2 linked regions of the Mytilus edulis genome follow. The protein of the gene in region 1 binds, or shares a complex with, the protein of each later gene. Links are inferred from orthologs where the notes say so. Each region holds a gene or a part of one and is shown on either strand. Other genes may lie near its edges. The genes, in order: CXXC-type zinc finger protein 1-like and WD repeat-containing protein 82-like.

Region 1 (12,345 bases):
CCTTATTCCAAAACTAATCTCAATTAAAATTTCTAATGGAGTTTGCAACAATAACTACTCATTTAAATACATCATAAAATATTAAGATGTAAAAAAACTGCTTGTTATCACTGAATGGTAAAGATTATTTTAATTTATCAGTTGGTAGTAAAAAGTGAATATTCATTGTATATTGTATATAACAAAGATTTAAGTTGATTCTGGACAAAGAAAGATAACTCCAATTAAAAAAAAATCTTGCTATTGCACAATATTTTGCAATTAGATATTTCTTGCTTACTATTCTGGACAAAGAAAGATAACTCTAATTAAAAAAAAAATTGCTATTTCACAATATTGTGCAGTTAGATATTTCTTACCATTGCGCAATACTGTGCAATTGAAAAGACTTGCTATTGCACAATACTTAATATAATAATTTTAGATCATGATTTGGACCAACTTGAAAACTGGGCCCATAATAAAAAATCTAAGTACATTTTTTGATTCAGCATATCAAAGAACCCCAAGATTTCAATTTTTGTTAAAATCAGACTAAGTTTAATTTTGGACCCTTTGGACTTTAGTGTAGACCAATTTGAAAACAGGACCAAAAATGAAGAATCTACATACACAGTTAGATTTGGTATATCAAAGAACCCCATTTATTCAATTTTTGATGAAATCAAACAAAGTTTAATTTTGGACCCCGATTTGGACCAACTTGAAAACTGGGCCAATAATCAAGAATCTAAGTACATTTTTAGATTCAGCATATCAAAGAACCTAACTGATTCATTTTTTGTCAAAATCAAACTAAGTTTAATTTTGGACCCTTTGGACCTTAATGTAGACCAATTTGAAAACGGGACCAAAAGTTAAGAATCTACATACACAGTCATGACAGTTAGATTCGGCATATCAAAGAACCCCAATTATTCAATTTTGATGAAATCAAACAAAGTTTAATTTTGGACCCTTTGGGCCCCTTATTCTGTTGGGACAAAAACTCCCAAAATCAATACCAACCTTCCTTTTATGGTCATAAACCTTGTGTTTAAATTTCATTGATTTCTATTTACTTATACTAACGTTATGGTGCGAAAACCAAGAAAAATGCTTATTTGGGTCCCTTTTTGGCCCCTAATTCCTAAACTGTTGGGACCTAAACTCCCAAAATCAATACCAACCTTCCTTTTGTAGTCATTAACATTGTGTTTAAATTTCATTGATTTCTATTTACTTAAACTAAAGTTATTGTGCGAAAACCAAGAATAATGCTTATTTGGGCCCTTTTTTGGCCCCTAATTCCTAAACTGTTTCGAACCTCAACTCTAAAAATCAATCCCAACCGTTCTTTTGTGGTCATAAACCTTGTGTCAAAATTTCATAGATTTCTATTAACTTAAACTAAAGTTATAGTGCGAAAACCAAGAAAATGCTTATTTGGGCCCTTTTTGGCCCCTAATTCCTAAAATGTTGGGACCAAAACTCCCAAAATCAATACCAACCTTCCTTTTGTGGTCATAAACCTTGTGTTAAAATTTCATAGATTTCCATTCACTTTTACTAAAGTTAGAGTGCGAAAACTAAAAGTATTCGGACGACGACGACGACGCCAACGTGATAGCAATATACGACGAAAATTTTTTCAAATTTTGCGGTCGTATAAAAACATAAGTGTATAAAAAATTGGAATTTTTATGTAAGGAAAACGTTTTCTGAGTATAAAGCAGAACATTTGTGTATCATTACAGATTATGTTGATAGTACCTCAGTTGTCAATACTGTTATGTCTAAAATGTTTAGTAAATATGTCGAAAAGTGGCAAGGCAATTTACAATCAGAGAAAGCTTTATTTGGTAAAGGTGGTAACAAACTTCGTACATATAACAGGGATCTCCATGGCCTGTTTAACGATGGCGCCCCGCCATCATTCAAATGTCTTGCACCATCGTCAAATGACTTGAGCCATCGTTAAATTGTCTTGCGCCATCGTTAAATTGTCTTCCGCCATCGTTCTAAACTTCATCGTTTTTTGTAGCCCGACGCCATTTTTTGTTATCAATTATAATCAAATGCATGTAATTGCATAACCCTTAGGCTTTTTATGTTATAATCCAATACAGTTCTAACGCCTGAGGGATATCCGGATTAAGATCGCTAATCACTTGTACATGAGCTTGTATACAGGTAGATCAACAAACCAGACAGAATACTATCTGAGGATAGACGATCCATTTGTCGAATTATTTGTCCAATTAATCAACTAAGTTTCAGCAAATGATTATGATAATTTAGATTAAATAAATAAATTAATAATCCAGTTACAAAGAGAACAGTTTAACAAGTCAAACACGTGCTTTATTTTGACTTACGCAATCAGCATCTCCCTTTTCTTAAGAAGTACAAAATATTTAGAATTACTTTAAAAGTTTAAAAGTAAAAACTTAAATATTTCCTGTAAAGAAATATCGTATCGTAATTCTGAATTCATTTCGTATATTACAATCAAATTGATACATCTGCGTTTCCGGTTTCTATTCAGACTCGAAAGATGCATGTTGCACAGCATAAATTTGCCAGATAAAGTCATTAAAAACCTTTTCATTTGTCAACGTTTGCTTTACAAATCTCTTTAACCTTTTACATAACCCGTACGAATCGTTTTGTTGTTGCTGCAAATCAGCCATACCGGTAATGGGTTCTTAATTTGACAGTGTAAATGAAAAATAAGCTCCACATCATATGATTTTTAACCCCCATAACAATTACCAAAAATACAAGAAATCTACATGGGGACTTTCATGACAGCTTTTGGTCATTCTCAACTAAGGGGGGACCAAGAAGACTTGGCATTTGAATGGTTAAAAACGGCAATAAATGAAAATATTGATACTTCTAATTCTATAATGAAAATTCAAATAAATATAATTTAAATAAGCAATGAATTAGCATGTTCACCATTCCTTGTATGGAGGGATAAAATACTTCCGATCGCGCTACACTGTACAGCGTAGACACGGTTTGTAATGGTGAAAGTTCCTCCAGCGTTCAATTTTCATCCATGGAGATCCCTGATATTTCAAAAAAAAATTAAATATTTCTAATTTTATCTACATGTATGAAAAACGATTCAAATTTAATTATGAAAATACAAATGTTCTTGAATAAAACTTAAATTTGAAGGAGTGAAAAAGAAATAGCTATTTAAAACTGCCCTGTATATTTTCAGGTCCGTCCTGGTCTTTAGTGTTACCATTATCAGTTTTCGAGTTAACAGTAGTTTTAAAAGCTTCTAAATACACACAGAGGTGCATAGGGTTGTTTTTTAAAAGTAAATATGGGTAAAATATCATTCCACAACATGAATATTGCACTGAAACGTTTTATTTGAGTATATTGGGGTATATTGGGGTAAAAAGTCATTTTGTGATCGTAAGCGGCTGACAAGAACGGAACAAGTTTCAATGCAAAAAGTGATTTAAAATTAATTATATTCATAAATTAAAGTATTATTGGTGTTAAAATAACATGAAAATGCATAAAATAATGTTATTATTCAATACTGTTATGTTAAAACTGTTTTTGAGGTATATTGGGGTATATTGGGGTATGTTGGGGTGAAAAGTCGCACCCCAATTGGTGCCAATAGGAATACTATAGTCGATGAAGATACGTTTTCCAATGTAGCTGTCAAGAGCAGAGTTAAAACGCCTCTTTAATGGTTAACACAGGTATAGCAGTGTTTTCCTTTTTTCACTAAGGTAAGGTGGGTGTTTTAAAAAATAACTTGCAACCGAGTGTTTTTTTTAAATGTCCAACCTTTTTTTTATTTACTGTGGGTGCACGTGGGGGTCACAAAAATAGAGTAGTATAATATTCACATTTAATGGAGTTAAACAAACATAAATAGAAGTACTAGTCATATTAATTGTCAAATATTCTTTGATTTATTTTTTTTTCAAAAATTTATCTCTTATATCTCTACTTTCATTTACAATTTTATGCATCAATATGGATTGAAGGCCTTTCAATCCAGGTTTCTGTCCTGTTTCTTGCTTTTGTGCCGTATTTTTGGCACACAGAACAGTAGTATCCTTCCTCTGTGACTATAAGTCATTTGAAGTCTTGCTCATATTTGTCTTCACTTGCGTGTCTTTTCCGTTATTTGGTTGATTTTTGTTCAATTTCAAACAACTCCAACATTACTATCAATTTTATTTAACTTATTTAGTCTAGTATTTTCTTTATCATCATCGTCATCTGCCTTTCTTTTTCCCCGATTGATAAATGAAAACATTGAAATTTGACGTTTGGACGCCATCTTTGTCAATAAAAACAAGGCAGGATTAGTATTCAAATTTTAACGGTACGGAACCGAAAAATACCCGGATTTTGAAAAAAAAAGCCGACCACCTCCTAAAATCGAAAGGTGGTCGGCTTTCAAAAGGTCGGCTTAAATGCCGAATGGAAAACACTGTATAGCATTATGGCAATATAAAAACAATCCTTAATGTATAAGTTTAAATGTACTGTTAACTATCATTGTCATAGAAATTACATCAGATAAATAAAAAAACACTTTTTTAAGATTTTTAAGGGCATGCACGGTGAATCCGGGTCCGTCCGCCCTGATTCTGGTTCGCCCTAATACCTGTTTGCCCTGAGTCCGTTCGCCCTGATTTTATTTTTAAGTATAGTGTTGCGTTGTGTGTATATAATTGAATGTGTTGAAGTCGGTCTACAATTTCGCCGAATATTTACGATGTATCATGTTGAATTGTCTAAAGCTAGCTGCTTTACATGCTGTAAGGTTATAAGTTTCAGTACATTTTTGGACTCTAAGTTTTTGAGGACTAAGTTTGTATTTGTATGTAATTACGTTACTAGGAAATATAAGTTTCTGTAAATTGTGTATTTTTAAATGTGTGAAACAACTGAAGACTAAGTTGTTGTCTTGCTTCTACGAGGATAAGTTTCTGACTTATACCTGACATAAAACAACTAAAGACTAACATGACTAAGTTATTTATATATTAAACTTTATTGATACATATCAAAAGTTTCAAATGACACCTACTCAGCAATCAAAATTCAATCAACAGTAATATTAAAAGTAATTATAAAATAAAGTGTAACAATGCAGCCAAGACTTTTATTTAATTAATATAAATTTGGCAAATATTCTGTATTTAACTTTTAATAGATATACATAAATTTAAATAAATTTTAATATATATATATATATTTCGTTCATTGATGTAACATATACATATCATAAATGAATATAGGGCGAACGAACCCAGGGCGAACGGACTATCAGGGCGAACAAACTCAGTGCGAACGAACCTAGGGCGAACATGTAATCAGGGCGAACGATCCCGATACCATGCACGGTCCACCTGATTGCCTATCACAACAATTTGTGGAAGCTGAATTGTCTCTGAACCAACAGTGTTAAAAACATCTTGCAGTTTGTTGATAACAGGGATCAGCCCTTCCATTGCTGAAAGGTTTATTTTCTATTTGATGTTTACATAGAAATTACATCAGAGATAAATACAAATTATTTTTAAGGACATGCACCTGATTGCCTATCACAGCAATTTGTGGAAGCTGAATTGTCTCTGAACCAACAGTGTTAAAAACATCTTGCAGTTTGTTGATAACAGGGATCAGCCCTTCCATCGCTGAAAGGTTTACTTTCTATTTGATGTTTACATAGAAATTACATCAGAGATAAATACAAATTATTTTAAGGACATGCACCTGATTGCCTATCACAACAATTTGTGGAAGCTGAATTGTCTCTGAACCAACAGTGTTAAAAACATCTTGCAGTTTGTTGATAACAGGGATCAGCCCTTCCATCGCTGAAAGGTTTACTTTCTATTTGAATGTCAATCAGCAGTCAGGGACATTTGACTTGTTTCGCTTTGGGCATAAACTCCAAAATTATCTCCGGCACTTTTTCACTTCCGGGTTATAAGGTGAATAAAAGAATGATTTAAATTACCCCGAAACATTTTATATACACATTCAGTGACATTAGATTATTAACATTTATTACTAATGAAAATTTCTAATTTCAACAATATTTATATTCTGACTGTTTTATATATCTTTCACCGAAAAGATTCTGATTTTTTATTTTAATCTAAAATCTTTCTCAAGACAGCAAAAGGGATGACGTATTACACATTGACAGATTTGGCTTACTAATTTTTGTTGTAGTATATTCTCATTATGTCAGAATCTGAAGGCAGTGCTAGTGGAATGTCTGTAAGTTTTATAATATGAGACAGGTGTAACTTTTAAAATAGTACAAAGTCCGTATCAGTAGTTTTTTTTACATGAATTTACAAGTTTTATATGATCTTTAGAAAAAAACTATCAGGTTTTTTAAAACTGCAAGTAAACCTATAGCTATAAATTATAGCTTGATATGGCTGTGATACTGACTAGTTAATTCGTCTATCCTTCAAATCCGACTACTTAACATTGAGAATGATATGGATTTTCATAATTTCTTGATATAACCCTACAAGCTCAATTATGTTTTGAGTGATTATCTCCCCTTTGCATTTTTAAAATTATTTTTTTATGAGGGGAAAAGGAGGAGGGGGGCATGATCTTTTTTGGGACGTCATGATGGGGTGTTTTTATGCTAGGGATTTTCGGATTGACCGTTATCGGGATCCAGGATTTGTTTTTGAGAATTTCGTAATGTCAAGATTTTTTTTCTTCTGCAGGATTTCATGTTTTTAAGCCTGGGATTTTGGGATTAGGGCCCTCCAAACCTCCCTCTTTTATGGGTTTTCATGCTTTTAAGGCGTTACCATTTCCAATAAAAACATGCATTTTACACATTCATATGAGGTTGCAAAAAATTATCTAGCCATACATTTTTATGTTATTATTAATAAGAAGTTCAGTCTAAATCTTTGCAGACAAAATTAGGAGGCACTGTTTCAACCATTCAATTAAGAAGGTAATGATGTGAACAACAGGATTTTTAAACCTCTTATTTCTAAACTCTATGTGCATCTTTACCAATGTCCAAAAACACAAAAAACAAAATGGTAAAATTTGTCATTTAAAGGGAAACTTCGCAAAAAAATCAAAAATTGATATTATGTCCATTCTATATATAGAAATGCTCAAATTTATAGATATTAAAGTTTTATTCCGCTAGATAAGAGATCACCATCGATTTTAAATTTAGAGTATCAACTCTCTGCGTTCCGCCATTTTGTCGTCTTCCCCGATTAAAAATCACGATATGTCTATAAACCACAAAGGACCAAAACTACACTAACCGATGTAGTCGTAATTGCGTGTCGATATCTTGTCAATCGTACGGTTGTTTTATCTGACAAACTAACTTGATACAGAAAATGTTCTTATTTTTTTTTAAATAACCATAGTCTGTTATTTTTAAACTGTTAATATTGGAATTAGTTAAAAAGTCAAAGTTTAAATCATAAATAAGTTTTCCGTGAAAACTGTTTTCGTAAATCTTATTCGTTTATAATTCTTTAAAGTAATAAATTTTATTCAAATAAATTCGGATATTCCCTCATCTGATCACCAGCATGACTAAAGGTATTACTCCCAAAGGTATTGTGAGGGGTGTGAGGTGACACGTCCAGGTATTCAAACGATTTCCTGTCGGGCTTGCAAGTTCATGCATCGTTTCACTTCTGTAGGTATTGATCAGTGTACACGGCCGATAACTTATAACTCTCCATTTTGAACTATCAGGTGTATAATATACATCTCTGTCTTGCGTGTCCGAAAGTGATATAATATACTATAGCCATTACTAAACTCATACGCTTGTTTATAAATAACATTACTGGTGTAAAGAATATTATTTATAAAAATACAAATAATACCAAAAAAAAAAGATTTGATAAAATAAAAATCTATTTACATTTTTTTTCCAAGGTTTAATTTGGGAAAATGTAATATATACTCGTTGTCAATAGTAAAGGACAGATTGGAACATACCAGAAATATTGATTTAATAAAAATGTACGCACTTGTCGACGATTCATTTCTACGCCTGGATAGAAAGTTACGGAGCTATATCGCAATTTAAAATTATTACATGTATACATTGAACATAAGAAAGAAACATACATTTTGTGTAAATTGGGGTAACAGTTTTGTAAATAGACTATTCCACGTATGCCAACAGTATGTAATCATCGAATTCGATAGACCATTGTATACCAAAAGAAGAAGAAGAAGAAGAAGAGGACCAATTTGATTTAAATACAGGTCGATATAATAACTTGCTTCGGTTCATCGAAGTTATGAACATAGTAAAATCACAAATTTATATATCAATTAGATCGTTCTCCAATGAAAGGAAGAAATTCGACATCATCACAATTGTTCCGACATTCATGTAAAACATATGCAACTGGACGTACACTAATAAACCCCAAGGGATGTGAGTATTTTCTAGGAAAACTTTTGAGTATTAAAGTTTCAAATTGATTTCGGGATTTATTTTCTTTCTTCAAATTCAATGACATCAATTTAAAGAATAAACTGCTTGTCCGCTTTAGGGGTATTCTTGCCAGTTGAACAGACTTATAATTACATTCAAAAATAGGGAACTTAAGATGACATTAAATTCGTTGTCTTTTTTTTTAAACATTGTTGGTCAAATAGCTAAAGTATTATTCGTTGTGAGAAGAAGACTATTTTAATAAGGACGCTCCCGATTATGAATAAATTTGGTTGACGTTTTTCACACTTGAAAAGAATTTCTATTCGTAATTTGTCGATTCCATTCCAAGAGGAAACTTAAATTTCCTGTCAATTTTTTAAAACATCTTTTTTTTTCAAATAGCTGAAGTATTCATGCATGGGTTGTGAGATTTAAAATATTTTGATGAGAATATTAATTCCTAAATAGGTAAATAAAGATCGCTTTGGATGGACTAAATCATATAATTGCAATCTGTTTGAAATATTAAAGGTTGGCGATTTTAATTTTAAAAAGTACAATTTTTAGTTCATACACTCGTGTTTAGAAGGCTATTTTTATTTATAATTTTATTCAATTAAAATAATTCAGTATTTTATCGTTACAAAACTAATCAGAAGTCATAATTCATTTAAAAGTGAGCTTATGCAAAATATATATATAAAAATATACAACAGCTATCCAGTTATTGTGCGACCTTATTTCTCCCGTAAATTCATTTTAATTCTTTTTCTTACATTTCTGTGTCTATAACTATAACTGACTCCCGTATATCATTCATACGAAATGTTGTTCACACCTGAAATGCTGAACCGTGACGCCTAGGTGTCACTGAATGAAGATCAAAAGATTAGAATTACATAATGCTAATCTTTTAATTACCTTGAGTTTAACTACGCATTCAACATTCACTAAGTGTAACAAATTAATACACATTTAATTTCCACAGTACAAGCAAGTGAAAATGTTTTCTGGAATGAAGCAAAAAGTTCAGAATACAAACATGTATTTTTTAATACACTATCGATCGTGTCAGTTTTATATGTTTGTTTAAAGTATTTGAAGAAAAAAAATCATAAAAATGTTCTATTGTATTATTTACTTTAATTACTAGAATTCGTATAAAAAATCCAAACATGAATCCTACAATCTAATTTAAAAAGTTGCATGGCTGTCACTTACTTTTCGTTGGTTAATAGCTACACCAAAAGTCGTCGATGCGCTTTAAATAGCGTTATTAGATGGTTAACGAACAAGACTTAAATGAGATTAATTTCACTCCCGGCATGCTCAAAGACTTAAACTACGTCACATAAGTCAGGAAGTTTGATAAAATAAAATTATTAATTCCAAATTTTCTCCCTTATTACTTTTCATATCGAAATAAAACTTGGGGAATATGTTTTTTATGGTATTATGAACATAATAAGATGAAAAGTGAAAAATCGCGAATTATCCCTTTAAGAGCAATATATTTTTAAATAGCTATGCCTGGGAACGCAGTAAGTGTCCTTTTGAATTTCTTTGTCCATGAATATAGTCCATTAGTCTGTACTGTGGCCGACAGTGAATTATAGTTGCAATTTTTTCATACCCTTTAAAAAAATTTTTTTTAATGTTTTAGGCCTCAAATAGCAAGAAGGATGAAATTCCATTGCAAAAAATTGTGGGTCATGAATTTTAAAATAAAGTATTGATTTGAAAAAGGTTAAAAATTAATATGTCTGAAGCTGTCAAAAGAATTCAAGACCCCCTTAATTAAAATTGTCTATATTTGAGTTAGAGCAGATGAAGTTTTCAATAATTTTGATACAATTTGTAGTACATCACACACTGTAAAAATATTATTGAGAAAGCGCAGGTGGGATTAAAAAAAAATCATTTATTGTCTTAAAGAAATGCACTTCAAAATTAAAAACCAATTGTTCAGAGAACAATTGAAGGTCTTTCCACCAATAAGGATCTATTTTGATATGAAAATATTAAAATTCAGTTGAAAATGTCAGTTCCTATGGCTTAATGATGTATAAATATGAATTTTGAGCAAAGGTCAAAATCTAGAACGTCAAATTTACTGATGACCTTGACCTATATTTCAAGGTCATAAACCAGGGACCCCAAATAAAAAGACCCTAGGTCTGTAATATGTATAGTTAATGAGTTATATCACTTTACGTTTAATTCTTAATATAGGAGGGGCAAAAACTCCCATTTTATGTCTACACACCCTTTTAACAAAAATATATAAGTTACGATATGTCGCAACTAACAATTTAGTAAAAATAATTTGTCGGTATCTTATAAGGTTAATGAAAATTAGTGAAAATAGGCCAAAATCAAAATTTAGAATATGACCTTGACCTTTGACCTTTACCTAATTTTCATTTTTTTGGACCAATGATCTCAAAACAAAAGACCCTAGGTCTCTATCACTTATGGTTTTCCAGTTTAAAATACATTTCAAAATTTCAAATACAAAATGGGAACTAACTCTCATATGGAGTCTCTATACGGCTTCGGTCAAAATAAAACAGAACATCCTGAGGATGTAACGAGCAATTTGGCAAAATAAATTTGTCGTAATCTTTTATGGTTGCGAAGGAGTAGTGGCCACAAGAAAAACAGTGTTTGGGGAGATAACTCTTACAACGTAAAGTATTTGGTTACGCAGTGGTTAGTTTTAAAAGTGCATACGCTTTACGATATCATATTCCAAATATCTAAGCGACATCTTTTGAAACATCAATACTACGCAAGAAAAGAATTAGGCGGAAGAATAAAAAAAAAAATAATAATAATAATCAGAAGAAATCCAATAGGTCTTTCCACGGAAAGGTGGAAAGACCTAATAACTGTGTTTTCAGGCTTAGTAGATAAGGACTCAATTGAAGGTTTTGGTTATTAAACTTTTATGTAGATCTTAGCTTGCCAATTAATTTTACTATATGTAAAGTTTCTATCTATCTCTTATAAATTATAAAAATGGGTAAAAATCTTAATTCAAGAGCAATTAATCATGTTAACTCCAATAAGGAGTTATAAAATCATTGTTTGTAAATCTTGTCTGGCAGATCACATTTGCTATTTCATGTGTCTTATCTAGATCTATTACAGTTATCAAGATAAAAGGTAAAATCACAAAGTTGAAAAAAGAAATCTCATTCAAGTGCAATGACTCTTAAAATGTGTCAATTCAAAATTTAGCCAAGCTGAATTATTTGTAAATGTACAAAATGTAGTCTTGCTGATCAATCTTGCTTTAGAAAGTTTGTGATACAGTAACATGTATAGATTTTAAATTTTAAGCAAAATCTTTTAACAAATGTCATTAAAGAGTCAACTGACAAAAATGACTGATGATATCAACCATACTGACTTATTTGTGGATATTATAGAAACATTATTGTCTTGCTTATCCTTTTTACTGTTTAAGTTTCCCTCTAGCTAGAATGATTATCAAGATGATATGCAATCATGAATGGGCCAGGTGAGCTCTGTCGATGTAAAAATGAATTGTCCTATAAGTTCATTATAAAAATTGAAATATTGTTGTTCCTGTAAAGTTTAAAATAGCTTTGCATTCCAAGTATTAATACAGAAACAGAAAATGTCAAAGGGAGATAATTCTTATATATTTAATACGATCTTATAATAATGTTTTAAAATGACAGTGCTTCGTAAGCCTATAAGGCTGGCTGAAAATAACAATGTTCATATCATATGTATTATATAATGGCAATTCAGGTTGCACTTTAATAAATTATTTATTCATATATATAGCCCAATCTTGTGAATTGTCAGTCAGAGACATCATCATTGATCATAGAAAACAGTATTTTTTTTTGAAATAATCAATATTT
Region 2 (13,081 bases), about 17 Mb from region 1:
GAATTATGCCTATTGAACAGCGGTATACTACTGTTGCTGTTATTTATTAGTCAAACAATTTTTTCTCCATAAATATTCCTGATCAGAATAATCTGAATATGTGTATTCCTTTTCTGCTCAAATATTATCAGATAAAACTTTAGGTACATTGCATATATGTTAAAAATAGCAACCCAATGGCACAACAAACAAAAGGGCATCAGAATTAAGTTCATTCTATTGCCAATTTTTTTTTCAATATTGTATTGTATTTTTTCATTTTATTTTTTTATTTAATGACAGATTAATGATGTTTGACTTGATATCAGCCAAACTTATTCTGTTTTGAAAAGTAACAAGAGTAGGAAAATTCCATTCAATTTTAATTAAAATTGGCAATAAAAATAAAATTAGAGTTCAAGAGAGGACTCAACTAAGGAAATTATTCTTAAAAGAAGAACTTAACATCTTAAAATCAAATAGCTGACCAGTGACAAGGCTTACTAAATATTTTATTTTAATATACCTGATATCAAGACAATTAGGAGATCCTTTTCTCTCAGTTTAGAAACCAAATCCTGAATTCTCACAGCAGTTTGGTTACAACTTTTATCTGGCATATTGTTTTTAGATCCTTCTCTCACCTCTATTTTGCTGTTAGAATCCAGTAACATATCACTGCAAGATTATAACAGAAATGAATAAATTGAATAAAAAAAAAAAAATTATAAAGAAGATGACACATTTTTTTTATAAATGTATATGTGTTACAGTGAATTTGTATAATCAGTGATTATGTAGAATCCCTGAAATTTTCAGGGATTATGTAGAATCACGTTCTAGTTTAGGGATTATGTATAACCACTAATATTTTCAGGGATTATGTATAATCACTAGAAAAAAAACGTTAGGGATTATACATAATAACTGAATTGAAGAAATAGTTTTATTTATAAAAAAAATGAATAAAAGTCAAATAATTTATTCTACAAAATCATATTAAAACATCATTATAAACATAAAATTGTAAAATGTTAAGCACAAAATATTAAAATGATAAACCCATTTTTAAAAATGTTAGGCACAATATTTTAAAATGTTAAACACAATATATTAAAATAATATGCTTCACATCTGTTTCTATCACAATATCCACATTTTAAAAAACTTTTTCCTTCACATATCGGATCAAATTTTTCGACACACCTAAGAAAAATAAAGTGTTCAGTAAAACTATTTCAAGGTATCCCGAAAAAAAGGAAATAAGCAACCTCAAATCTGTTCGAGCAAAATACCATGTTTAGTGGCCAGGCAATATTCTTTTTCAGAATTTTTGTGAACAATTGCCAATGATTATGTTTTTTGGGTTTCCCTTTCCTTTTTTCCCTGCGGATTTGTTATGAAAATATTACACCAAATGCCAGCTTCCTCTAAAAAAAAATTATTTATCAATCCTTAGTTTTGCCTGTTTTATCATCATGACATTTAGATGCGTATTAGTTCTCTTGGTTTGATTTTTCTTGTTCATTTGACCAAAAAAAAAAAAGTTCCATTATCTACTTTGCCACAAATAACAAGCTCTTTAGATTTACAAATAGAACTTGAATATCCATTTAACGCTGGCTTTTAAGCAACAAGTTATCGCTATAAAGGGAAGGTTGATTATTATTAATTTTGAAGTCTTCAACTTTAATTCGAAATCCTGTGTTGATTATATCTGTATGATTATCCTCTGTGTTTTAAAGCAAATTTATTTCATCTGGCAAGGAATATGAAAGAAAAAAATTATAATTTGTCTATATTATTTATTTTTTAACAAACAAAGGTTCTTTAAATTATTGATAATCCCTGAAATCATATTAGGGAATATGTAGAATAATTATTAAAATGTTCAGTGATTATGTAAAATCACTGGTCATTTTTAGGGATTATATATAATTACTAATGATTTCAGTGATTCTACATATTCCCTGAAAAATCAGGGATTCTACATAATCCCTGATTATACAAATTCACTGTAACATATGCATGGTAAAACCGAATTAGACAAAATGCAAACATCACAATTAAACAAATCAAATTTGGTCTTGAATGAAAGACAAGCATTTACATGTATACTGTATGTTCTTTTTCAAGTTAATACAATAAATTAAGCCCTTCATGCCAAAAATGTGTACATGATCAACACATTTACTAGCATTCAAAATTACTATAAGAAATATCAAATACAAGTACTTATAATTACATTTGATGCCATAACAATGAGATTGTTTTTCTGCACATTATTGTCATGCAGAGCATTTGCAGTCATAAATGTTTTTTGTTGGGAGATTTTTGTAAAACATTTATGATATCATTTCAATCTAAGAACATGTAATGGACCACTTTTGAGTTTGTCCTTCACCAGAAAAAACTCGTCAATTATGCGTGCCTTTATGGCATCATTTACCAGATAGAGGGGATAACCTGTATCCCTGCACTATTAATGTTCATCAAGTGTCTTAGTGGTAGTCATTGTGCTGGATAAACTAGAATTAATGTGTGTCTCTAATGACAGAAGTGCTGATTCAATTATGAGAATTCAATTTGCCTAATAATACATGCAAAATAGCATCATAGTTTTCCACTCACTCAACATGGAAACAGAAGTGTACATGTAAGTGCCCCTAAATGCACGAATGATGTTTACTAAAACCAAAGTTTTTGACCGAAATGCATCTAACTCGAAAGTTGGGTATTAAGATTATCTCCCCTTCTTATGTGCTTGTCCAAAATCAGGAGCCTGTAGTTCAGTGATTGTTAATTAATGGTTAGTGTCTGTCATATGTTTTTTTTTGTAATTGGTTTTGTTCTCAATAAAACTGTCTAAAATTTTTCATGTCAGGCCTTTAATAGCTGCCTATATTGTATTGGTAATTCTCCTTGTTGAAGGCCATAAGCTTTTCTATAATAGTTTGCCTAAAATTATGGAAGATGGATGAGAACAGACAGTGTTCCATACAAGTGTCAATACCAAATTACAAAAATAAAATTCATAATTTTGTACACTTACAGCTTGCCAGCGTCACTGAAATTCTCCTGAATTCCTGTAGGTACACTAATTATTCCTTTAACTATATGCTGTGATAATGTATCATCTACTGCTCTGGCCATTCCCAATACAGCCTTTCCAAAACCAACCACATAAACATTGTTATCTAATTTATATTTTTTATCCTCTATGATCAAATTTTTCCCATTGTGATCCAACTGAATATGTTTCCGTATCAAATGATGGGGTAGTACAGAATTAACAGCAGATGAAAATATAGACACTACATCTTGATTGGCCATCTCACCAGTGTCCTTTCTTCTTACACAACTGATGTAAGATGAGTATTTGTAAAAATTAAACGTCCATCCATTGACTGGTAAATGTTTCAATACTCTAGGTTGTCTGCTTTGTGAAATAAATTTACAGACTGGACAAAGCCAACTGATGTACCTGGTGAATTAGAAAGAAAAAATATACATTTTCATAACAAAGTCAGAATGCCATATTTTTATTTATTGGTAGGATATAAACTAACACAATAGCAACTTCAAAGCATATTAGAAATGAGTGAAACATTCATTTCCAGAAAAAAAAAACACTTTAGTGATGATTCCACAGCAAAACAGATGACACTTGTCTATATATAGCTAGCACCATGCACCAAATTAAAGTTTTATGTCGTTTTCATAGAGTGTACATGTACAACATGTGTAATCCTATCTTTTTGTTTGTACCAATCTTAATAAGAATGGATTTCATTCTATAACAGCCTGCACAGATTACTTAATGAGACAAAACATAATTACTGACTTGCATATTTATTTTATTTTATTGCTTATGTAAACAGTGCTGCAGATTGACTAAAATGTAATGGAGTTATCTTTCTTGCACTATTGTGTAATTCAGGGTCCACCTTTAAGGAATGAGTTTTTGTTATTTGTTTAAAATTTCAAATGGATTCAACAGATATAATTAGGCATCTCACAACCTAAAAGTGTTTGGTGTAGTTTATGCCTAAAGGTGGAATACTACCATGGGTTTCCCTTAATTAGTCTATTAAATTTGCAATTTTCAAAAAATTGAGCAGAAAATACTTGGCATGAGTAAAGTTTTATCCTGTACAGTACTATGGTACAGACAAATTTCACATAACATTTCATTGCATTTAATATAATAACCATCACTGGAAGTTTTAAACCAATGAAGTATTCACCTCTTTTTTACCTGTGTACAAGCTTTAAAAATTAGTAACAATGTAACCTCAAGTTTCCAAAATATTCTATAGTAAAACCCAAATATAAAAAAAAATAATGGTGCTTTGAAATACCCAGAACTGACAGTGATCTTCCAAAATATTTAGACACTGGAACCCTTCCACAAGAAATATGTAAAAAATTCCAAACTTGATTTAATTTAGAACATATTCTTAACTTCTAGTTTATTTTTGGCACTTGATTTTCTTAAAATCCAGTAAAGTTTTTAATTTTATAAAACATAATTATTATTTTTTTTGTCAAATTCCTCTTGTGGCTGTCATGCATTTAAAATTTTTCATTTTTTATTTTTTCACAGTAAATTTTATGTAAACATATTTGTCAAATCCTTCTGATAAACATGTCCATCAATGACAGTAAGAAGTGACAGTCAGATATCACAGCAAAACGATATTTGCACAGTGTTTCCCAATCTCTGTCTGACCGACAAAATATCAGACAAAAAATCATTCAGTCAGACATTTGTCAGACAGAAATTTTAAGATTTTTTGGTTGAATAGAAAGTAGACAAGTTCAAATTTCTCTTTTGGTCAGATAAACCCTAAAACAGTTTGGCACAGGCTGTTTGCATAAACTGACATATATTTGATGTATTATTAAAGGGGCACTAGGTACATATGATACTTAAAAAAAAATCAAATTGGGATTTTTGTTTGTGCAAACATTAAAGAAAGTGAAAAGTGAAATAATTTGCTTTAAACAGCCAGTATGGTTCAATTTTGTCAAAATAAAATGTACACTTTCTTTTAGACGATAAAAATATCAGCTGACTTTGACGAATCATGCTATTTTTTTCCAAAAAAAACAGTAAAGATAATTATTTGAGACATCTGACGAATCACGATTATGATATATTGATGAATCACAGTAAAATTTTAAACAATTTGATGATAACGCGAAAATTACTGTTTGACGCCTGACGGTAAAGGGCATTACCACCCTCGTGTAAGGCATCATAGCAAAATAGTGCAAAACAATATCTCTTGACATGCTAATATGACAAGAGATTTAATGCATCAATGAGGGTGGGTTGGAGGGGTCCAGAACCCACAATCCCAGGCTTAAAAACATGAAATCCTGAGTTCCCAAATTTAAAAAAAAAAAATCCAGCCATCCCGAAATTTTCGAAGAAAGCAATCCCAGATCCAGAAAGGGTCAATCCCAAAATCCTGAGCTTATAAACACCTGATCCCGACATCCCAAAAAGGTTCTGCCCCCCTAATTAATTAGACACAGAAAATCAAGGCAGTAAGGAGTAACAGCAATGTGATAGTAGATCTTCCCATAGATAGAAAACAAGTGCCTGTGCTTGAGGATGATAAATTTGATAATGACAAAAAGAAGCTTAAAGTTTTATGATAGAAATTCGAATGCACCTACTAAATAAGCCGACAGGAAACAAATGAATGTATATTACCGTGTCATAGTCTTAAAGGGGTCATAGAGATAACAAGACCAATGTATATCTAGTAGATCTTTTTTTCGTCTGCTAAGGTGTCCTCAAATCTTGTCCCGCAGTTAATGAAGGTTTTTTTTAAACAAAAGACTAAACAAATCTCTTTATGTTCATAGATAAATGACAATAAAGTAATAAGCAATATGTACAGGGGTCAGAATTTTTTTAATACTTAGATTTGTTGGGGAAATATTAACATTAGTTCAAAAAATCTAAATACCAAATTAGAGTAAAATTTAAATTGCACTACAACGACAATAAATAGTTCGGTGTGATGTTTATATTTTCATGATTTTGGTGTTACATTCTGTCTTTTATTCATTCTTTACTTAAAAAATAGAAAACCTTTATTATTTTATTTGTGTGTATTTTTTACAAATTTATTATTGTATTTATTTATGCAATGGTTTGCCTTGTACAAATGTAGCTTTTTTGGTGTTTGGTGATATTAAAACAATATAACGCAGCGGTCTCACTAATTAGCGACAACAAGAATTTTAGCGACAACAAGCGTCAACAAGCGACAAGAAGCGACAACAAGAATTATTTTAGCGACAACAAGCGACAAGAAACTATTTAGCGACAAGAAAACATTTTTTTTTAATTAAAATTAATTATTGCAATAAATATTAAAAGAATATGCAAATGAAAATAATTTTAGCGACAAGAAAGTTAAAATTGATCATCTATTATGAATAACAGCCAGTATTACGTTTAATTATTGTATTATGAGATTACTTTTCTTTGTGTTTTAGAGCATATTATTTATCTTATAATTTGTTTTTTAAAACTCTGTTCATGCAATATATATTAAGCTCGCAAAATGAATTATTTATGCATCATTGTCCTGAAAATATTGACACAAATTGTGAAATACAAAGAACTGAAATCAAACAGGAGGAAAAGAAAATTGAAATGTGAATGTTCACAATCTCTTTCTTCCTCACAAATGTTTCATTTCTTCGACGGTCTCAGGGGCGGATGCAGGAATTTTCGAAAGGGGGGTGCTAACCCAGGGCACCCAGGGCAAAGGGGGGGTGCAAAACATATGTCCCGATACAAATGCATTGATCGGCAAAAATAAAGGGGGGGTGCGCACCCCCGGACCCCCCCCCCCCCCTGGATCCGCCACTGGACGGTCTATCTATCTATATATATATATATATAATAAAACATTTTAATTAGACATATCTGCTCGTATATTTTAAAAAAAAACCATTAAATACAAATTTCTAATAATCTAATAAAAAAAAATGTTGTCTTGTCGCTAAATAGTCTTCTTGTCGCTTGTTGTCGCTAAAATAATTCTTGTTGTCGCTTCTTGTCGCTTGTTGACGCTTGTTGTCGCTTCTTGACGCTTGTTGTCGCTAATTAGTGAGACCCTAACGCAGTAAATAAACAACAGCGCCTCCTACGAATTGAGGCTCGAATTCACAAAATGAAGTTAACTGACAATGTTGTTCGAAACTTCAGAGTTGCTAAAGTATTTAGGGAAAATACAGAACGGATAAATAATTTAGACTTTTCGGCAAACGGAGACACTCTTATTTCAAGCAGTGATGATGACTCTATCGTCATATACGATTGCCAGAATGGAACGTAAGCTTACAAGAACTGGCTTTTGGTTTCCTTCATAAACTGATAAATAATTTTGCTTCAAGCACAATTATCACTTATTGTTTTTATAGTCTTATGCACGACGCGTTGCGAGGGACAAAGAATTGTCGGTCTATTATGCAACAATCTGGTTTTGATTGCGCGCTCACATGTGCAATTATTAATAATTTATGCTTACTACTACAGGATTGTATGAAAATCAATGCCAATCAATAGACGTATTTACACTTGTATGCAATTTTGTCCGCCATTACAGAAAATCACACAGGTTCCCAGAAATATCCATGGCCTGTTTAATGATGGCGCCCCATTATCGTTCAAATATTTGCGCCATTTTCAAATGGCCCACGCCATCCTTAAATTGTCTTCCGCCATTGTTCAAAACTGTTATCATTTTTTACAGCCTGACCCCATTTTTTTTGCAATTTTAATTAATTGCATGTAATTGCATAACCCTTAGGTTTTTTTATATTATAATCCAATACAGTTCTAATGCCTGAGGGATATCCGGATTGAGATCGCTAATCACTTGTACCTGAGCTTGTACAGGTAGATTAACAAACCAGTTGGAGAATATTATCTGAAGATAGAGGATTCATTTATAGAATTATTCAACTAAGTTTAAGCAAATGCTTATGATAATTTCGATTTAATAAATTAATAATCCAGTTACAAAAAAAAATTGTTTAACAAGTCGAACACATGCTTTTATTTCAACTTTTATTACGCAATCAGCAGCCCCCTTAAGAAGTACAAAATAAGACGTAAAATATTAATATTATTTCATCGCAAGTAACTCAAGTACTGCTGTAACAATAATATAGAATTCCTTTAAAAGTTAAAAACTAAAAACTAAAATATTTACTGTGAAATACCATATCGTAATTCCGAATTCATTTCATAGTTTACAATCAAATTGAAACATCCTTGTTTCCGGGTTTATATTCATACTCTAAAAAGATGTTTGTTACATAGCATCAATTTGCTAGATAAAGTCATTAAAAACCTTTTCATTTGTCAACGTGTGCTTTACAAATCTCTTCAACCTTTTACATTACCCATACGAATCGTTATGTTGTTACTGAAAATCAGCCATACCGGTATTGGGTTCATGACTTCTGAATTTGACAGTGTCTGTGAAAAATAAACTCCACATGATTTTAAACCCCCATAACAATTACCAAAAATATCAAGAAAACTACATGTGGATCTTCATGACAGCTTTTGGTCATTCTCAACTAAGGGGGACCATGAAGGCTTGGTATTTGAATGGTTACAAACGGCAATTAATGAAAATATTGATACTTCTGTAATGAAAATTCAAATGAATATAATTTAAATATTAAGCAATAAATTAGCATGTTCACCATTCCTTACATGAAGGGATGAAATAGTTTCGATCACGCTACACTGTACGGGGTAGACACGGTTTGTCATGGTGAAAGTTCCTCCCTCGTCCAATTTTCATCTATGGAGATCCCTGGTTTCCTGTAAACTTTGACATCATAATTCAAAACATTTGACGTCACAACGAAAAAGTAATTGTTGTTTGACGTCAGAAGGTTATTCGAAGATGATATAAGGTCATTCTGAGGCATAATACAGCTAAATACCAAAAGTTTATATGCCCCTTGGCAGTATCACTCACTATCAGGTCTGTTTGTCCACAATACACTTTCACACCCTACATGTTAGCCCCTAAGGTCTGTTAGCAACCGACATGCGCACATGTTTGCATCAAATTTTAAATCAAATTCCAGTTGAATTATTAACAGAAAGTCTTGATTCATTGATTATGAAATATTAATTTGTTGTTTAAACTTAGCTTGGTATGAGTAAAAAAGGGCAGTACATTGTTATTCTCATGCAACGTTTTCAGTCTTTTTATTTCACGTTATTTACGTATTTTGACGTTTTAATTTTCGTTTTCTCTTGTTTGGTAAGATGTGCATGCTATGTGTTTCCCAGCATTTATTCCCCGTGTTTCATGTCAGTACTCTGATCTATTGGTATTATAAAAGAGCTAGCACATTTAGGCAACACAGTTTCTTGTTTTGTTGTTGATTGCTGTCTGTTCTTGATTAGAACATTATTGGAGAAGTCTTGTGATTACTTAAACATAACTATTTACTACACTGTACAATCTGACAATGAACTGTGGTAATTGATTTTGAATTAAGTATCTGTATTACATGTACTTATAGTCATGATAATAAACTCAATATCTATAACTTCATGTTCATGTTATGTACATCATGGGAAATGATTTTATTTACAGGCCTAAGAAAACCTTAAACAGTAAGAAGTATGGTGTGGATTTGATTTGTTATACACATGCAGTCAACACAGCATTACACAGTTCAACCAAAGTTGATGGTATATATTTTATTATATTTTTTTTTGGGGGGGAGGGGGGGGGGGGGGGGTCTTTGTATACAACTTCATATTGGAGACATGTAAACTCAAAAGAGTAATATTATAGGTACAAATTGTGTATGCATAGCGTAAATTCATGTGAACATATAGTGTTTCCTGCAGCTTTTAAAAAGGGCAGGGTAGTTGTTAGCTCAGAGGGCACATTAACACGATGGACAACTATTTTAGGGCACTTAATATAAACAGGCAATTTCTATAAAATGGATTCATTTAAAACATACTAGTTTAATGCTATAAAAAGGACATATGCATCTGTAGTCAATCATTAAAACAAATTGTTAAACAAGAAAAAGTGTTTAAAACATATATATGAAATATTTAAAACAACAAACACAATTAAAAACAAAATCAGTTCTTTAAAAATGTTTAAAAACAAGAAAGAACTGTGTCATATATATAAAAATATTGCTTTGGTCATATCAATTGTCATTGTCAAATCCTCCTTTTTTTCCCTAAAAACAGTTTGACACATTCCCTGATATCCAAATCATCTTTTGTATTTGCTGACACTAGAACAAGATTGTTTACAGTTGACACATTCAGTCTATTTCTGCGTTGTGAAACTCCGTGCCTCTTTGGTGCTAAAAATAAATAAATTACAAATAAAACAAGAATATCTTAAATAATCTGGAAGTTTTTTCATAAATTGTTCCTTTCTTAAATTAATTCAAATTAAAAACTGAAGAAGTAAATTTTAAAAAAATAATTTGATGAAAAAATGAATTAATTGAAAGTAATTAATATGCAAGTGATTTCATGAGATCCTTGGCCTAACTCAACTTTTACCTTAAATTATCCCTTTGACAAAAGTTTATTTTTACCCCCGAACTAACACCGTTGCAAGTGCATAACCATTTTGTAATAAAAATCTACAAACCTTTGAAAAAATGATAAAATCTTTCTGTATTTTGCGGCCTGTTTCTCATTTTCTTCCTCACGTTTTCACTTCATCCGATTTGTTGATGGCATGATTAGTATCTGTATTCACTTTTCAATCTATTGTAGTTTGCTAATCAACTGATTACGAAATCGATTACAAAATGGCGTCCTAGTGAACTTTTGTTTACGTTTGAAGGGAAATAACTCAAGCGGTATTCATAAAATATGTCTTTCAGTACCGGTTGTTAATGACGACGATAAAGGCATTTGTCAGGAATTTCGACAAAATTAGGGCAGGGCACCAAATTTTTTTCCCAAATAGGGCAGGGAGTCGAGAAATCGCGGCAGGGCGCCATTACACACCAAAACCACCTGTAGGAAACACTAACATACAGGAAAAACATAGCCCTAATTTGAGAAGTAATGAGCATTTAAGAAAGGTTTACAGCTAATAGATCATTTGTCTTGTTTTAGATAATTGTAATGCCCTACATACAGTAGAAATCATGGTAGTCTGGAGGTTTGATGTTTCCTGTTCTGTCTATTTGTACTGCTAGCTATATAGTCTCACATGTAACATGTGAAAGTTTTTGGTTAAGGTAGTTTACAATGCAGTCATGTTCAATTTGAAAAATAGATTGTGATAGTGTGAAATAACAATAGTTTACAAATGATGTCAAATTTATAACATTTTAGAAATGATTGTGCACCACTACAATAGTTTTGATGATATATGCAGCATGTTTATGTTTGTTTTAATTGTTAATTTTAGATACCATCAGATATCTGTCTCTTCATGACAATAAATACATCAGATACTTTCCAGGCCACACTAAAAAGTAAGTAGTTTATCACATCTGAGTTATATATAAATAAGAAGAAATAACTATAGGTGACTGTACAGCCTTCAACAATGATCAAAGCACATACTGCACAGTAAGTTAAAAAATGCACTGAAATGACAAATGTGATATAACTCAAATGACCAGCTTCAAACATTTTGTCAACATGGTCAAGGGAGACAATTGTGAAATTTCAGTAAGTTTCAATGAAATAAGAAAATATTAATTAGAATACTATGTATTTTTGCTGGTACAAATATTAGATATAAAACTTGTGTAATCATGGAGAGTTTTCTTGTTAGCACTAATACCACATCTTTTTTTATCTTAAAATCTTATGAATACATAACATGTGACCTTAAAATAAGAGCATTCAATAACATACATGTATCAGGGCTCACGCTACCAGGCGACTTGGGCGAAGAAGTCGCCCTCCCGACCGTCACTTCGCTTTCCCCGACCCCCAAAAGCGAAAACAAGTCGCCCTGTTCTTGACGAAAGTCGCTTTCAGTCGCTTCCGTCATTGGACATTTTCAATTTTTACCAAGTTGATGAAACATCAATTTTTTACTGATAATTAAAGAAATTCAGACATAAACTATTCATTATCTTTAGAAAAGAGGTTGAAGCATTGTCTTCGCAGTGTGTATCAGGTTATTTGATAAAAATACAACTTTTTATCACTTCGTGCATTTTCGCAAGTTCCGGTGCTTGTTACTCGAAAACGTACATCAACCTAAATTTCGGCGGCAAAATAAGTTTGTTACTTCATTTAAACGTGATAAAAGTTGCCTCCAGTAAATGTTAAATCCATTTCTTGCATTAAAACCGTCATGTTCCTTTCCAAATAACTTGTCAAACATCGTTTATTTTTGTAAATTTTCTTGCATTCGTCCGCCATTGACCGATTTCTAAACTACGGATCTGAACCGGACCAGCTATGACCGAAATCCGTACTTTTACAATAATTACTACGGACGCACGGATGGAACAGCTGACAAAAGAATATTGATCCCAAAGGGAAAAATTACGCATCCCACACGAATTAAGAGACTTTTGGTTACATCTAAATGATTGTTGTATATAATTCCCTATATTTTTTATGAATGTTTCAAACTATTGATTAAAGTTGCTAAAACTCTGAGACTATTATACTAATATCAATATATTATGGCCCAGCTTAATAACTTTCATATTTTTTTTATGAGAAACACTGAATTTCATACACAAGATAATTTTTTAAAATAAGTTTTTTTTTTAGTGCTAGATATTTAGTTGGTAGTTTCTCACAAGAACCTTAGTAAAACTTAAACAACTTTTAATTTCAAATGTTACTTTAATTGTAATTTTTCACTCATATGAATTGAACAACATAAAAAGAACATTATTTACATATGGCCCTTTATACTATTGTAAAATCCAAACATTGTAGCGCACCCGCGGGAATGAGCACTTCTCTTTCAAATCTCACCACTTCTCCCTATCAGTTTCAAAAAGAGAAGTCACTTCTCCCTATAATTCTGAAGTAGTGTGAGCCCTGTGTATAATCAGATGGTTACCCTTT

Evidence for each region.
Region 2: CXXC-type zinc finger protein 1-like (region 1) and WD repeat-containing protein 82-like share a complex: the UniProt entries of both Drosophila melanogaster proteins name them as parts of the SET1 complex. The link is inferred for Mytilus edulis from reciprocal best matches to the Drosophila melanogaster genes Cfp1 and Wdr82.

Annotation. Positions count from the first base shown.
Region 1 is NC_092344.1:87,706,686-87,719,030, forward strand, and holds the start of CXXC-type zinc finger protein 1-like, read left to right. Parts: upstream 1-6,142; 5' UTR 6,143-6,228; coding exon 6,229-6,264; intron 6,265-12,345. Other genes in the region: dynamin-1-like protein, read right to left, coding at 5,385-5,486. UniProt on the Drosophila melanogaster protein: Component of the SET1 complex that specifically di- and trimethylates 'Lys-4' of histone H3. Essential for Set1 association with chromatin and trimethylation of histone H3 at 'Lys-4' at transcription puffs.
Region 2 is NC_092344.1:104,246,809-104,259,889, reverse strand, and holds the start of WD repeat-containing protein 82-like, read left to right. Parts: upstream 1-7,132; 5' UTR 7,133-7,181; coding exon 7,182-7,342; intron 7,343-9,638; coding exon 9,639-9,736; intron 9,737-11,447; coding exon 11,448-11,514; intron 11,515-13,081. Other genes in the region: glycerate kinase-like, read right to left, coding at 506-657, 3,032-3,463, 5,705-5,712. UniProt on the Drosophila melanogaster protein: Component of the SET1 complex that specifically di- and trimethylates 'Lys-4' of histone H3.